Linked DNA regions of Arabidopsis thaliana. The protein of the gene in region 1 purifies or fractionates together with the protein of each later gene. This does not show direct contact. Each region holds a gene or a part of one and is shown in the gene's direction. Other genes may lie near its edges. The genes, in order: CRR6, ndhH and ndhI.

Evidence for each region.
Region 2: the proteins of CRR6 (region 1) and ndhH purify together in Arabidopsis thaliana (affinity purification with mass spectrometry, with the first as the bait; one study listed by BioGRID). This does not show direct contact.
Region 3: the proteins of CRR6 (region 1) and ndhI purify together in Arabidopsis thaliana (affinity purification with mass spectrometry, with the first as the bait; one study listed by BioGRID). This does not show direct contact.

Annotation. Positions count from the first base shown.
Region 1 is NC_003071.7:19,612,978-19,618,660, forward strand, and holds CRR6 (chlororespiratory reduction 6), read left to right. Parts: upstream 1-1,679; 5' UTR 1,680-1,763; coding exon 1,764-1,959; exon of another isoform or gene 1,960-1,985; coding exon of another isoform or gene 1,986-2,037; coding exon 2,038-2,582; 3' UTR 2,583-2,792; downstream 2,793-5,683. Other genes in the region: NET3C (Kinase interacting (KIP1-like) family protein), read left to right, coding at 3,026-3,116, 3,198-3,784; AGP26 (arabinogalactan protein 26), read right to left, coding at 4,242-4,652; AT2G47935 (uncharacterized protein), read left to right, coding at 4,273-4,572, 4,612-4,744, 5,078-5,241; DEG2 (DEGP protease 2), read right to left, coding at 5,395-5,683. UniProt on the Arabidopsis thaliana protein: Required for both formation and activity of the chloroplast NAD(P)H dehydrogenase (NDH) complex of the photosynthetic electron transport chain. May function in assembly or stabilization of the NDH complex.
Region 2 is NC_000932.1:121,511-127,003, reverse strand, and holds ndhH (NADH dehydrogenase subunit 7), read left to right. Parts: upstream 1-3,811; coding exon 3,812-4,993; downstream 4,994-5,493. Other genes in the region: rps15 (ribosomal protein S15), read left to right, coding at 3,442-3,708; ndhA (NADH dehydrogenase subunit 1), read left to right, coding at 4,995-5,493. UniProt on the Arabidopsis thaliana protein: NDH shuttles electrons from NAD(P)H:plastoquinone, via FMN and iron-sulfur (Fe-S) centers, to quinones in the photosynthetic chain and possibly in a chloroplast respiratory chain.
Region 3 is NC_000932.1:118,277-121,754, reverse strand, and holds ndhI (NADH dehydrogenase subunit I), read left to right. Parts: upstream 1-1,992; coding exon 1,993-2,511; downstream 2,512-3,478. Other genes in the region: ndhA (NADH dehydrogenase subunit 1), read left to right, coding at 1-298, 1,379-1,908; ndhG (NADH dehydrogenase subunit 6), read left to right, coding at 2,848-3,378. UniProt on the Arabidopsis thaliana protein: NDH shuttles electrons from NAD(P)H:plastoquinone, via FMN and iron-sulfur (Fe-S) centers, to quinones in the photosynthetic chain and possibly in a chloroplast respiratory chain.

The DNA of each region.
Region 1 (5,683 bases):
AATAGGTACAAGATCCGATTATAGATAGAGATCCGGATACAGAGAATAAATACCTAAGAAATCCCAAGCGAAATTAAAAAGGCCGCATCGATTCACAAGTTATACGAGCTTCACATCAATAAGAATCCAGGTGGAGCTTGGGAACAGTACCCAGGTCCCAGATTGGGGCATCGAAATCGACAACCAACACTCGAAAGCGAATGCCTTTTACAACCCACAGAAGAAGAAGCGGTCAGAGGAAATAGATTTTAGGGTTTGACGGGGGAGTGAATATGTATGTCTGTCTCTGTGTTATCCAATCGCTTCCTTCCTTGTCTCATTTTTAATTGTTGTCAGTCAGTCATTTTATTATTTTATCATTATTTTCTTCAAACTAAATTTGGTAACAAAGTTTTACATTTCATTCTAATTGACCGTATTCTTACCGATTTATCTTCTGCCTTTTTAATTAAGGGATATATATAAAGAAAGCTTTTCAATTATAGAAATAAATTAAGCTGCCACATGATAACGAAATTAAAGTGTGCTTTCTATGTATTTCTCTTTCTCGTTGTTATCTTTTGTTTTGGTAATGTTTCTAGAAATGTTGGAACTTCACCGAAATAAACATGGTAACTGACTAGATTCTAAAAAATCTTGTTCAAAATTCATCATATAAAATAGACATCTGAAGATAAGAAGACTTACAAATAGAATACTTTGGTTTAATGGAAACTTTCTTTCCGTTTTTCCTCTTTTTACGCAATTGTATTTGACAAAACAAAACTAAGCAGAGTAAGCTTTTTGTTGCCGTGATCACAGCACTTTCGCCGCTTTAATGGGCCAAAAGGTGTTTTAACGTTTTACTTTATATAATTAAGATGAAATCTTCCTTCTTTGGATATAAATAATGATTTGGACAACTACTGATTTGGTCAAAACGTAAACAAAAACAAACAAACAAAGGAAAACGTCAAAAAAAAAAAAAGGTGTTATGAGTTATAAAAAATAACATTATTGGGCCGTAAGAATCCTTTTTTTCGTCTATATGGGCCGAATTGAAGTCTAAATGGGTCTCGATCTTAACTATGCCTACACAGCATAAAGAAGTTAATCACTACAACAAAATCATCATTTGGCCTTATAATAGATATTCATTCTCAGGCACTCTAAGACACTGTGAAGTGGATCTTTTGACGCTTATGTTCATCTTACTAGATTGCATAGGTGAGCTTTTTCTCTCAAATCATATTATCTTTGCCACTGCTATGGTAGAGACCTTGGGGACTTATCTTTGCCAAGGAATGTTCCATTGCATAGCTATTTAAACTTTAAAGTGAGCAGAATTCTCAGTCTTTGAGCTACTTACTTACAAAGCCTCTATTGTGCAACTCCTTTGACCCGGTACGACCTTGGAAGACAAAGAAGGCCTCACTGCTTGCAAGGGGCAATGGCGAAGAAGAAGATCAGAGACGGTCAAGCTTGCAGATGCTCCTGAAACACCTCACCAACAGTGAAGGAGATTCGACAATGCCTACATCTACATGAGACCGAGGAGGCTGACTTGAGTTGAAAACATTCCACATTAAAGAAGAGAGCTCTTCATTTTTCTGAACGATTGAAGAAATGCATTCTGCTTAACATTTGAAACCTTTACGACAGACAGCAAAATATATGTATTTGTGCGGTGAAGGAAAAAAGGATAAAATGGAAAGAAATGAAGAAAAGGCCAAAAGAAGAGGATAAAAAGAAGACTAAGACACAAAGAGAGATAGCGTCTGTGAATGGCAACAAAGGCAGTTCTTCTCCCGTGGCTTATCCCATCGCCGAGACACGTATCGCTGTTCCCAGTGGTTCAATTGCCGGCGTTGGAGACCGCCGGGTGGTGTGTAAGAAAGAGGAGGGCAGAAGACGTAGCAGTCTCCGTCGCCTTCAATCCTTCTGGCAATTTCGACATCTCTGCCTTCGAGAATGACCAAGGTTCGTACTTGCTCAATTGATTCAGAATGATAAATAAAAAAAGGCTGCTACTAATTAATTATGTGAAAGGCGTAGCAGATTCAGATAAAGTGGAACCTCCGATGCCTCCAACGACCGGCCGGTACGAAGTAGTGATCGACAACGACTCAATTGGGCGGCTTGACCTATCCCCGTTTCAGAGAGCCATCGGCATAACCTCGCCTGATGATTTTGGTGTAGCTGAACCAAAACGGTATTTGGATCGAACCATCGGATTCACCATCAATTACAAGAGAGAAGACCCCGGGGATCCGCGGGAGCTGTCAGAGTACCCGGACGTAAGACTATGGTTCGTGAGGCTCGACGCGATGTACCCTTGGCTGCCTCTGCTGCTGGACTGGCGAGCTGGAGAACTTGCTCGATACGCAGCCATGTTAGTGCCGCACCAGATGAGCTTGAGAATGGGTGTCGTTTTCAATCCGGAGGCGTTGGAGCTTTTCGTAATGAACAAAGTGTTTGTGGTTTATCCGTGGCTGAAACGGCACGGCGTCCCAAAGCCCAGGTTGAAGACGAGCGACATGGCCAGGATGCTCGGATTCGGTATCGGCGATGAGCTCTTCGACTTGATCGATCACAATGAATGAAAAACGATGTGTTCTATCTTCAAATTACATACGTGGGCCTAATTGTGGGCTTACAATGAAAAAGGCCTGGGGATGGTAATTAAGAGGATTTTTTTGGGTATTTGATACACACGTGGCGAATATTCATTGGATAAGTTGTATTAATAGCCGTAAAATCTGGGAAAATAAATTCAAAATCTCGAATATCTGAAGAGAAGAGAGAGCCCATTCAAAATTTGAAAAACAAATCAACAATTGGTTTATTCGTATCTTTCTCATTTCTCTCTAGTCTATATCGCTCTCAGAATACAATTGGAAAAAAGAACAAGGTATTTAGGAATCTCTCATTCTTGAGTAGCTAAGCATTGAGGTCTCCTTTGCGTTTATAGATTATTTTTTTTGGTTGAAATTGTTTGGTTCTGTTGGGATATGTTGTTGTGTTAGGGAAGAGAACACAAAAAGAAATGGTTAGAGAAGAGGAGAAATCGAGATGGTGGTGGTTCGAGAGCCACAAGAGCTCCAAACATTCTCAATGGCTTCAATCAACACTCGCTGGTTGGTTCTTTTTCTCACTCAGTTCTTCTCTATGTTTTGTGGTTTTTGCCAACTTTTTGGTGTGAAACGTTTGTGGTGCAGAGATTGATGCAAAGACAAAGGCAATGTTGAAGTTGTTAGACGGAAACGCAGACTCTTTCGCTCAGCGTGCTGAGACTTACTACAAGAAACGTCCTGAGCTTATCAGCTTTGTCGAAGACTTTTATCGAGCTCACCGTTCCTTAGCCGTGAACTTCGACCACCTCAAGTCTTCCGACCACTATGGATCTCGCTCCGCTAAGGTTCCCCAACAATCCATGGAGTCCGTTTGTGACAGCAATTCTCACTTTGAAGATGCCGATTCTGAGATTGAAGACCCCCTTCAAGATGATGCCTCCGCAGCTGATTGCAAAGAAGATGAGACTTGGCAATTGGAACAAGAAAGGTTGAAGCTGATCGAAGAGACTGATGCTCTGAGGAAACAGCTCTTAGACAAGGACGAAGAGAAGAGAGAGGTCATCAGACAGCTTTCTCTAACCCTTGAGACCCTCAAAGACGAGAACTTGAGCCTCAAGAGACGCCTTGCCCACCATTCTCTCAAGCAACGCACCGTTTTGGAGTTCAAGCCACTAAACAAGTTCTTTGGGAAGCTGTTTTACATTATGTGCGATGGCAACAAGGTCCTTTAGGTTGGCTCATCTACCTCATGAGCTTAGCTTCGATATTTTCTGTGGTTCATTTCACTGTTTATCAAGATATATCCTGTCCTTTCCGTGCTGTATTATAACCGGTAATTATCCTACTTAATAATGCATGCTGTTCTGATTTGTTCAATCACAAGAACCCAGTTTCAGACAAGGACATGTGATGAGTGATACATAATTGGATGATCAATCAATTTTGACTTTGAGGCACAAAAAACACACACTATCACTGCTACCAAGTACAACAACTGCGCACTAGCCCAAACTGCAGAGTGCTTTATGAGCAAATCTCACACGAACGAACACTAGAAGAAGCTATATTAATATTACATGAAAAAAATTCAGAAGAAGCAGAGAGTAAGAAAGAATACATTTGTGAATATTTGGTTTCTGCTGATGATATTGTGTAGAGTGCTGCTTACTCGCTGTTTCTATATGATTACTAGAAGAAACTGCAGAAAGCTAGTAGCAACATGAGTAGGACAAGAAGCAGAGATGAGAGTTGTGATGAGACCAAACAAACAGAGGAAGAAGCTGGAAGAGGAGATCCAACTGGAGAAACTTCGAGCAGAGGATCAGGAGTGACAGCATCTGGGTTTGGTGGACTAAGGCTTGAGGGGATTGTCGGCATGATAGACGATTCCGACGGGGAAGGAGACATTTCGCTTGAACCTGGAGTAGGGAACAGGGGAGAGGTATCTGGAGACATGGCCGGGGTAGAAGCTGAGAAACTCGATGGAGCTTCAGGCAAGAACGAAGGTGCAGCTGATATGGTGGACAGCTGAAACTCAGATGTTGAAGTGTGTAAACAGAGTGAGAGAACGGTGAAGGCAGTGAACAGAGAGACGGACATGGTTACTGTGAATGTCTCTCCTGCTTCTCTGAGAATGTTTCTGAGAGACCTTAAGAAACTGAAGAAGAAAAAGGTATACAGCTATAGAGGAGGTAAAAGACAAGATTGGTGGGTTTGGTTGTGGACCTCTGGCTTAGGGCAGAGCACATGAAATATGGATTTGTCGGGTTTTGATTTGTGTCGGAGTGTTTGTATGTTTTGATTTTGTGAATAAAAAGTTATTAAAAAAGCAAAGTAGAGTCCCGTGAAGCTCTTCCCTCAAATATAGAAATGAGTGCCAGCTTTTAACTTGCTATGCTTTTTCCTGATCTGCAACAATCTTAGGTTTATTGTCAGTTGATGAAGACAATAGAATTGGTAAAAAGGAAGCACCGATTCACTGATATATATATATATATATATATATATATATATATATATTACAGTCACAGAAGACATTGCTGCATTTCATTTTCTCATAGAAAATCAGACACTGAATAATTTGTTGACTTTTGTCGAGATTCTGGCAATGCTTTTAGCAGTATACATTCATCTGAACACAATGGCCGAGCATTCTCATGGCCAACTTTCTATTAAACTCAATCCATAGAGGTTTGAATAAAGAAGAAAGAATTCACTAAACTTTGAGTTTGAGCAGCACAAGACCTTATGAATGAGGATGAAGCTGAAAGCTTTCCCATATGTTCGGGGAAGCTGTATGAGCTTTCAGTGGTTTCCATCTGCGGACGCCTTTTCGAATATTTTATGCCCACACCAGTCCATCAAAGCCGATTTCCAGATTTGACACAGGGCTGTCTCCAATACCTTGGTCAAGCGCTTGGGTGTCATCTATTGGATCAACATATGGCTCGAGCAGATCAGCGGATCTTTCCGAGGGAATTCCATAATCTTTGAGGATGCACAAGGAAGCAGAATTTGAAGCTTCCCTCTCCAACACAGCAACATAGTTGTCTTCGAACTCAAAAACTAGATACTTATCTTTGCACATATCAATGAGATGTGCCAAGTGATGGATGTTTCTTATTGGAATT
Region 2 (5,493 bases), on another chromosome or scaffold:
CAATCAAAAAGAGAAGAAACAAGACGGATAGAAATTGCAGAAACTTGGGATAGCTTCCTATTTGCTCAAATAATAAGAGGTTCTCTCTTAGTAACTCAATCAATTCTTAGAAAATATATTATATTACCTTTATTGATAATAATTAAAAACAGTGTCCGTATGTTATTATTTCAATTTCCCGAGTGGTCCCAGGATTTAAAGGATTGGAAACGTGAAATGCATGTTAAATGTACTTATAATGGGGTTCAACTATCCGAAACAGAATTTCCAAGAAACTGGTTAACGGATGGTATTCAGATAAAAATCCTATTTCCTTTTTATCTTAAACCTTGGCATAAATCTAAATTTCAAGCATCTCAGAAGGCTCGACTAAAAAAAACAAAAGACAAAGGAGAAAAAAATGATTTTTGTTTCTTAACAGTTTGGGGAATGGAAACCGAACTACCGTTTGGTTCTGCCCAAAGAAAGCCTTCTTTTTTTGAACCTATTTCTAAAGAATTAAAAAAAAGAATCAAAAAATTAAAAAAAAAGTCTTTTGTGGTTTTAAAGATTTTCAAAGAAAGAGCACCCATTTTCCTAAAAGTCGCAAAAGAAACTAAAAACTGGATTCTCAAAAACTTTATTTTTATAAAAGGAATTTCAAAACGAAATCTAATTCCATTATTTGGCCCGAGAGAAATATATGAATTAAATGAACCTAAAAAAGATTCAATAATAAGTAATCAGATGATTCATGAACTATCTGTTCAAAATAAATCCTTGGAGTGGACAAATTCTTCACTTAGCGAAAAAAAAATCAAAAATTTGATTGATAGAAAAAAGACAATCAGAAATCAAATAGAAGAAATTTCAAAAGAAAAACAAAACTTAACTAATAGTTGTACCAAACTGCGTTATGATTCTAAAATAATTGAGTCATCAAAAAAAATTTGGCAGACATTCAAAAGAAAAAATACCCGATTAATTCGTAAATCCATTTTTTTTTTTAAATTTTGCATCGAACAAATGTCTATAGCTATTTTTCTAGGTATCATTAATATTCCAAGAATTACTACACAACTTTTTTTTGAATCAACAAAAAAAATTCTTGATAAATATATTTACAAGAATGAAGAAAATGGAGAAAAAAAAAAAAATACTCTTTATTTTATTTCGACTATAAAAAATTTAATATCCAATAAAAAAAAAATGAGTTATGACCTATGCTCTTTATCACAAGCATATGTATTTTACAAATTATCACAAATTAAAGTTAGTAACTTTTGTAAATTAAAGGCTGTTCTTGAATATAACATATGCATAACATCCTTTTTTGTTAAGAATAAAATAAAGGTTTTTTTTCAAGAACACGGAATCTTTCATTATGAATTGAAAAATAAAACCTTTTTGAATTCCGAAGTAAATCAATGGAAAAACTGGTTACGAAGTCAGTATCAATACAATTTACCCCAGATTTCATGGGCTAGATTAGTAACCCAAAATTGGAAAAATAAAATAAATAAAGATTCTCTAGTTCTAAACCCAAGTTTAACCAAAGAGGATTCATATGAAAAAAAGAAATTTGATAATTATAAAAAACAAAAATTTTTTGAGGCCGACTCATTATTAAATCCAAAACATAATGTAAAAAAAGATTCTATATATAATCTTTTTTGCTATAAATCTATTCATTCTACAGAAAAAAATTTTGACATGTCTATAGGCATTGCCCTAGATAATTGTTTAGTCTCTTCTTTTCTAGAAAAATATAATATTCGGGGTATGGGGGAAATTCGGCATAGAAAATATTTGGATTGGAGAATTCTTAACTTTTGGTTTACAAAAAAAGTAACTATTGAGCCTTGGGTTGATACTAAGAGTAAAAAAAAATATATTAATACTAAAGTTCAGAATTATCAAAAAATTGATAAAATAACGCAGACGGATCTTGCTAATAAAAAAAGAAACTTTTTTGATTGGATGGGAATGAATGAAGAAATACTAAATCAGCGTATAACAAATTTTGAATTTTTTTTCTTTCCGGAATTTTTCTTATTTTCTAGTACATATAAAATGAAACCATGGGTCATACCAATCAAATTACTTCTTTTAAATTTTAATGAAAACATAAATGTTAATAAAAAGATCATTCGAAAGAAAAAAGGTTTTATACCATCAAATGAAAAAGAATCCCTTCGATTTTATAATCTGAATAAAGAAGAAAAAGAATCGGCCGGTCAAGTAGAACTTGAATCAGATAAAGAAACAAAAAGAAATCCCGAAGCAGCTCGATTAAACCAAGAAAAAAATATTGAAGAAAATTTTGCAGAATCAACAATAAAAAAACGTAAAAATAAAAAACAATACAAAAGTAATACAGAAGCGGAACTTGATTTATTTCTGACAAGATATTCGCGTTTTCAATTGCGATGGAATTGTTTTTTTAATCAAAAAATTCTCAATAATGTAAAAGTATACTGTCTCTTGGTTAGACTAAACAATCCAAACGAAATAGCGGTATCTTCTATTGAAAGAGGAGAGATGAGCCTAGACATTCTAATGATTGAGAAAAATTTCACTTTTGCAAAATTAATGAAAAAAGGAATATTGATTATTGAACCTGTGCGTTTGTCTGTACAAAACGATGGACAACTTATTATATATAGAACCATAGGTATTTCATTGGTTCATAAAAATAAACACAAAATAAGTAAAAGATACAAAAAAAAAAGCTATATTAATAAAAAATTTTTTGAAAAATCCATTACAAAATATCAAAACAAAACTGTAAATAAAAAAAAAAATAATTATGATTTCTTTGTCCCTGAAAAAATTCTATCCCCTAAACGACGTAGAGAATTTCGAATTCTAATTTGTTTCAACTTAAAAAAAAAAAATGCTAGGGATACAAATTCAAGATTTGATAAGAATATTCAAAACTTGACCACCGTTTTGCATAAAAAGAAAGATCTTGATCTTGATAAGGATAAAAATAACTTAATTAATTTAAAATCCTTTCTTTGGCCCAATTTTAAATTAGAAGATTTAGCTTGTATGAATCGCTATTGGTTTAATACTACTAACGGAAATCATTTCAGTATGATAAGAATACGCATGTATACGCGATTTCCAATTCCTTAATCATAAATACTTTTTACTATATATAATAAGTTACGGTATATGAAAACAACTATATGCACAAATATGAGGGATTGTTTTAAATTAAATCTTTATACATGAGATTAATTTAATCAATCACATAGATACCAATTATAGCGGATTCATAAATAAATTAACAGAATCCTTCTTTTTGAGATCTAAATTTAGATTTTTTTCTAAAATGAAGAATTAAGAGGTTGATAATTAAATTAAGATCCTTGTACAAAAAAACTACCATTATTATTACTGATCAGTAAAATTAATATCTTTCAATTCATATTAAAAGGGGAAGGATTTCTTTTTATGATAAAAAATATAGTCATTTCATTTGAAGAACAAAAAGAAGAAAGCAGGGGATCCGTTGAATTTCAAGTATTTAGTTTCACTAATAAGATACGAAGACTTACTTCACATTTGGAATTGCACAGAAAAGATTATTTATCTCAGCGGGGTCTACGAAAAATTCTGGGAAAACGTCAACGACTGCTGGCTTATTTGTCAAAAAAAAATAGAGTACGTTATAAAGAATTAATTAATCAGTTGAATATTCGGGAATTAAAAACTCGTTAAATTCAAAAATTGTGAATTAGTGAATTTTTTAGATCTTGAATTTTTTGATAAACTTCTTTATTCAGAAATCTAATTCATGCCAGAACGAATCAAGGAAAAACTTATGAAGAGACCAGTTACAGGAAAAGATCTTATGATAGTCAATATGGGACCTCACCACCCATCCATGCATGGTGTTCTTCGCTTAATTGTTACTCTAGATGGTGAGGATGTTGTTGACTGTGAACCCATATTAGGTTATTTACACAGAGGAATGGAAAAAATTGCAGAAAACCGAGCAATTATACAATATTTACCGTATGTAACGCGATGGGATTATTTAGCTACTATGTTTACAGAAGCAATAACAGTAAATGGACCAGAACAATTGGGAAATATTCAAGTTCCTAAAAGGGCCAGCTATATCAGAGTAATTATGCTGGAATTGAGTCGTATAGCTTCTCATCTGTTATGGCTCGGCCCTTTTATGGCAGATATTGGTGCACAGACTCCCTTTTTCTATATTTTCAGAGAACGAGAATTTGTATATGATCTATTCGAAGCTGCCACCGGTATGAGAATGATGCATAATTTTTTTCGTATTGGAGGAATAGCGGCTGATTTACCTTATGGTTGGATAGATAAATGCTTGGATTTTTGTGATTATTTTTTAACAGAGGTTGTTGAATATCAAAAACTCATTACACGAAATCCTATTTTTTTAGAACGGGTTGAAGGAGTTGGGATTATTGGTGGGGAAGAAGCAATAAATTGGGGTTTATCCGGACCAATGCTACGCGCATCCGGAATACCATGGGATCTTCGTAAAATTGATCGTTATGAGTCTTACGATGAATTTGAATGGGAAATTCAATGGCAAAAACAAGGAGATTCATTAGCTCGTTATTTAGTACGACTTAGCGAAATGACAGAATCCATAAAAATTATTCAACAGGCTCTGGAAGGACTTCCAGGGGGTCCCTATGAGAATTTAGAAAGCAGGGGCTTTGATAGAAAAAGGAATCCAGAATGGAATGATTTTGAATATCGATTCATTAGTAAAAAACCTTCTCCTACTTTTGAATTATCAAAACAAGAACTTTATGTAAGAGTTGAAGCTCCAAAAGGGGAGTTGGGAATTTTTCTCATAGGAGATCAAAGCGGTTTTCCTTGGAGATGGAAAATACGACCACCGGGTTTTATTAATTTGCAAATTCTTCCTGAACTAGTTAAAAGAATGAAATTGGCTGATATTATGACGATACTCGGTAGCATAGATATAATTATGGGAGAAGTTGATCGTTAAAATGATAATTTATGCAACAGCAGTCCAAACTATAAATTCTTTTGTTAAATTGGAATCTTTAAAAGAGGTCTATGGACTCATATGGATATTTGTCCCTATATTTTCTCTTGTATTGGGAATCATAACAGGTGTACTAGTAATTGTGTGGTTAGAAAGAGAAATATCTGCAGGGATACAACAACGTATTGGACCTGAATACGCCGGCCCGTTGGGAATTCTTCAAGCTCTAGCCGATGGGACAAAACTACTTTTCAAAGAAAATCTTCGTCCATCTAGAGGAAATACTCCTTTATTTAGTATTGGACCATCTATAGCAGTTATCTCTATTTTACTAAGTTATTCAGTAATTCCCTTTAGCAATCACCTTGTTTTAGCGGATCTCAATATCGGTATTTTTTTATGGATTGCCATCTCAAGTATTGCTCCTATTGGACTTCTTATGTCAGGATATGGATCAAATAATAAATATTCTTTTTTAGGTGGTCTGCGAGCTGCTGCCC
Region 3 (3,478 bases), on another chromosome or scaffold:
GAAAATCTTCGTCCATCTAGAGGAAATACTCCTTTATTTAGTATTGGACCATCTATAGCAGTTATCTCTATTTTACTAAGTTATTCAGTAATTCCCTTTAGCAATCACCTTGTTTTAGCGGATCTCAATATCGGTATTTTTTTATGGATTGCCATCTCAAGTATTGCTCCTATTGGACTTCTTATGTCAGGATATGGATCAAATAATAAATATTCTTTTTTAGGTGGTCTGCGAGCTGCTGCCCAATCGATTAGTTATGAAATACCATTAACTCTATGTGTTTTATCAATATCTCTACGTGCGATTCGTTGAAACAGAAACGTTTATTTTTACTATTCCGTTTCTTCTAGACGAATCAGTTAAAAAACGGAATATATATTTATCTTTCGAATTAATCGAAATAATTAATAAAAGGAATTTGATAGTTATATATGAGTGAAAAAAAAACTGCTCTGAAATTTGCAGTAAAACGAAAAATGAGTCTCATTTCCTATGTACAAAGGTTAAACGGAAATAAACATAAGTGTAAGAATCACTTTACCCCAAGGTTGGTTGATTAGTCATCCTGACTTGAAGCGGGTTAAATATATTAACCGGTAACCGGATGACGTTTTCACTATCAGTTATATAGATTAACATACATGTATTACAAAGTGAGCGGCAATTAGGTAAAAGTGAGTGGATGGTTAGAAACACCAAAATACACAAAGAATTTGTAATAGAGATTAACCAAATTGAAAAGGATATTTAGGCCTAACATAAGATAAAAAAAAGAAGGTTAATTGGGGCTTTAAATTAGTAGAAATGATCAGACAGTACTCCCCAAGATTCCGATTCAGAGTATGCTCCTATCCACCGACAAATGTAATGACTATCAGAAACGAAATAATCCTTTATTTTTTATAAGTCTACCAACTTTTTTCTAAAAAAGAAAGAAGAATAGGAACGAAACAAGGCTCTTTTTTTTTTCATATATTTCGAAAATAAAATCGAATTTCTGTCATGAATAATAAAAAAATAGGATGTCTAATTATTTTTCGTAATCGAAAACCACGATGGGCTTAAATACTTTTTTTTTTTAGGAGTTTTTTATTAAAGGGTTAAGTTATTACTCAACAAATAGAAATTCAAATTTGTAAAGGGGTGAGATGAATTCCGAAGCGCGTTTTTTATTCTTAGAATTTGAGCAGACAGAATTCCATTGGTATAATTCGGGACCCCAGATATATTTAATCCATTTTAGAACACATCATATCCATCTAAATTATAATCTGGTCCTTAGATTTATTTATGGCCCCCGAGGAGCCGTATGAGGCCAAGACCTCATGTACGGTTCTGAAATAGCGGTGAAAATAGTAATGTTCTCGCCGACTAGGATTATCTAACAGTTTAAGTACAGTTGATATAGTTGAGGCACAATCAAAATATGGTTTTTGGGGATGGAATTTGTGGCGTCAACCTATAGGTTTTATCATTTTTCTAATTTCTTCCCTAGCAGAATGCGAGAGGTTACCGTTTGATTTACCAGAAGCGGAAGAAGAATTAATAGCAGGTTATCAAACTGAATATTCAGGTATAAAATTTGGTTTATTTTACGTTGCTTCTTATCTAAATCTATTAATTTCCTCATTATTTGTAACAGTTCTATACTTAGGCGGTTGGAATATTTCTATTCCGTATATATCTATTCTGGAGCTATTTCAAAGGGATCAAATTTTTGGAACAACAATTGGTATCTTTATTACATTAGCTAAAACTTATTTGTTTTTGTTCGTTTCTATCGCAACAAGATGGACTTTACCTAGGCTAAGAATGGATCAACTATTAAATCTTGGATGGAAATTTCTTTTACCTATTTCCCTTGGTAATCTATTATTAACCACTTCTTTCCAACTCTTTTCACTCTAAATTTAAAATGAATCTAATATATTCATTATTTGTTTTAAACAAGAGACAGAAACAAAGATAAAATTATTCAGAGATAATTACAATATGCTTCCTATGATAACCGGGTTCATGAATTATGGTCAACAAACCCTACGAGCTGCAAGGTATATTGGTCAAGGTTTCATGATTACCTTATCCCACACAAATCGTTTACCTGTAACTATTCAATATCCCTATGAAAAATTAATAACATCGGAACGTTTCCGCGGTCGAATCCATTTTGAATTTGATAAATGCATTGCTTGTGAAGTATGTGTTCGAGTATGTCCTATAGATTTGCCTGTTGTTGATTGGAAATTGGAAACTAATATTCGAAAAAAACGATTGCTTAATTACAGTATTGATTTTGGAATTTGTATATTTTGTGGTAATTGTGTTGAGTATTGTCCAACAAATTGTTTGTCAATGACTGAAGAATATGAATTTTCCACTTATGATCGTCACGAATTGAATTATAATCAAATAGCTTTGGGTCGTTTACCAATGTCAGTAATTGACGATTACACTATTCGAACAATTTGGAATTCACCTCAAACAAAAAATGGGGTAAACCCTTTAATTTGATTAAAAAAAGAATTCCAAGTTGTTGAATTATATTTATATAAAGAATTTAATTAAAAACTTGTATTGTATTTATATAATAATAATAATATTAAGTATTAAGGCACATTCTTTTAATATAATATATTCGTAATTACTTTCTTGAAATTGATAGGTTGAAAATACACTTTAGAAAAAAAAAAAGAGAAAACAGCCTAATACTAATAATTGTATCTACATCAATTCATATCCATTAGATTCTAATTTCACTCTATTTAGAAACATATAAAAAACAAATTTCCTGGTTAAATTAATAAGGTCATGAAAAGGATTTCGATTTTTTCTTATTTTAATAATATAATGGATTTGCCTGGACCAATACATGATTTTCTTTTAGTTTTTCTGGGATCCGGTCTTCTAGTAGGGGGTCTGGGAGTGGTATTACTTCCCAACCCAATATTTTCAGCCTTTTCCTTAGGATTTGTTCTTGTTTGTATATCTTTATTGTATATTCTATCAAATTCCCATTTTGTAGCTGCTGCACAACTCCTTATTTATGTGGGGGCCATAAATGTTTTAATCATATTTGCTGTGATGTTCATGAATGATTCAGAATATTCCACAGATTTCAATCTGTGGACCATTGGGAATGGGATTACTTCGTTGGTTTGTACAACTATTCTTTTTTTATTAATGTCTACTATTCTCGATACGTCATGGTACGGGGTTATTTGGACTACAAAATTAAACCAGATTCTAGAGCAAGATTTAATAAGTAATAGTCAACAAATAGGAATTCATTTATCAACAGATTTTTTTCTGCCATTTGAACTCATTTCAATAATTCTTTTAGTTGCTTTGATAGGTGCAATTTCTGTGGCTCGTCAATAAAAAATGTTCTAAATTATTAAAGACCAAAGAAAACTTTGTGTATGTTATGATTTTTTCCGTTCATTCAATTAAATTTGATTGAATACTATTTCATATTTTA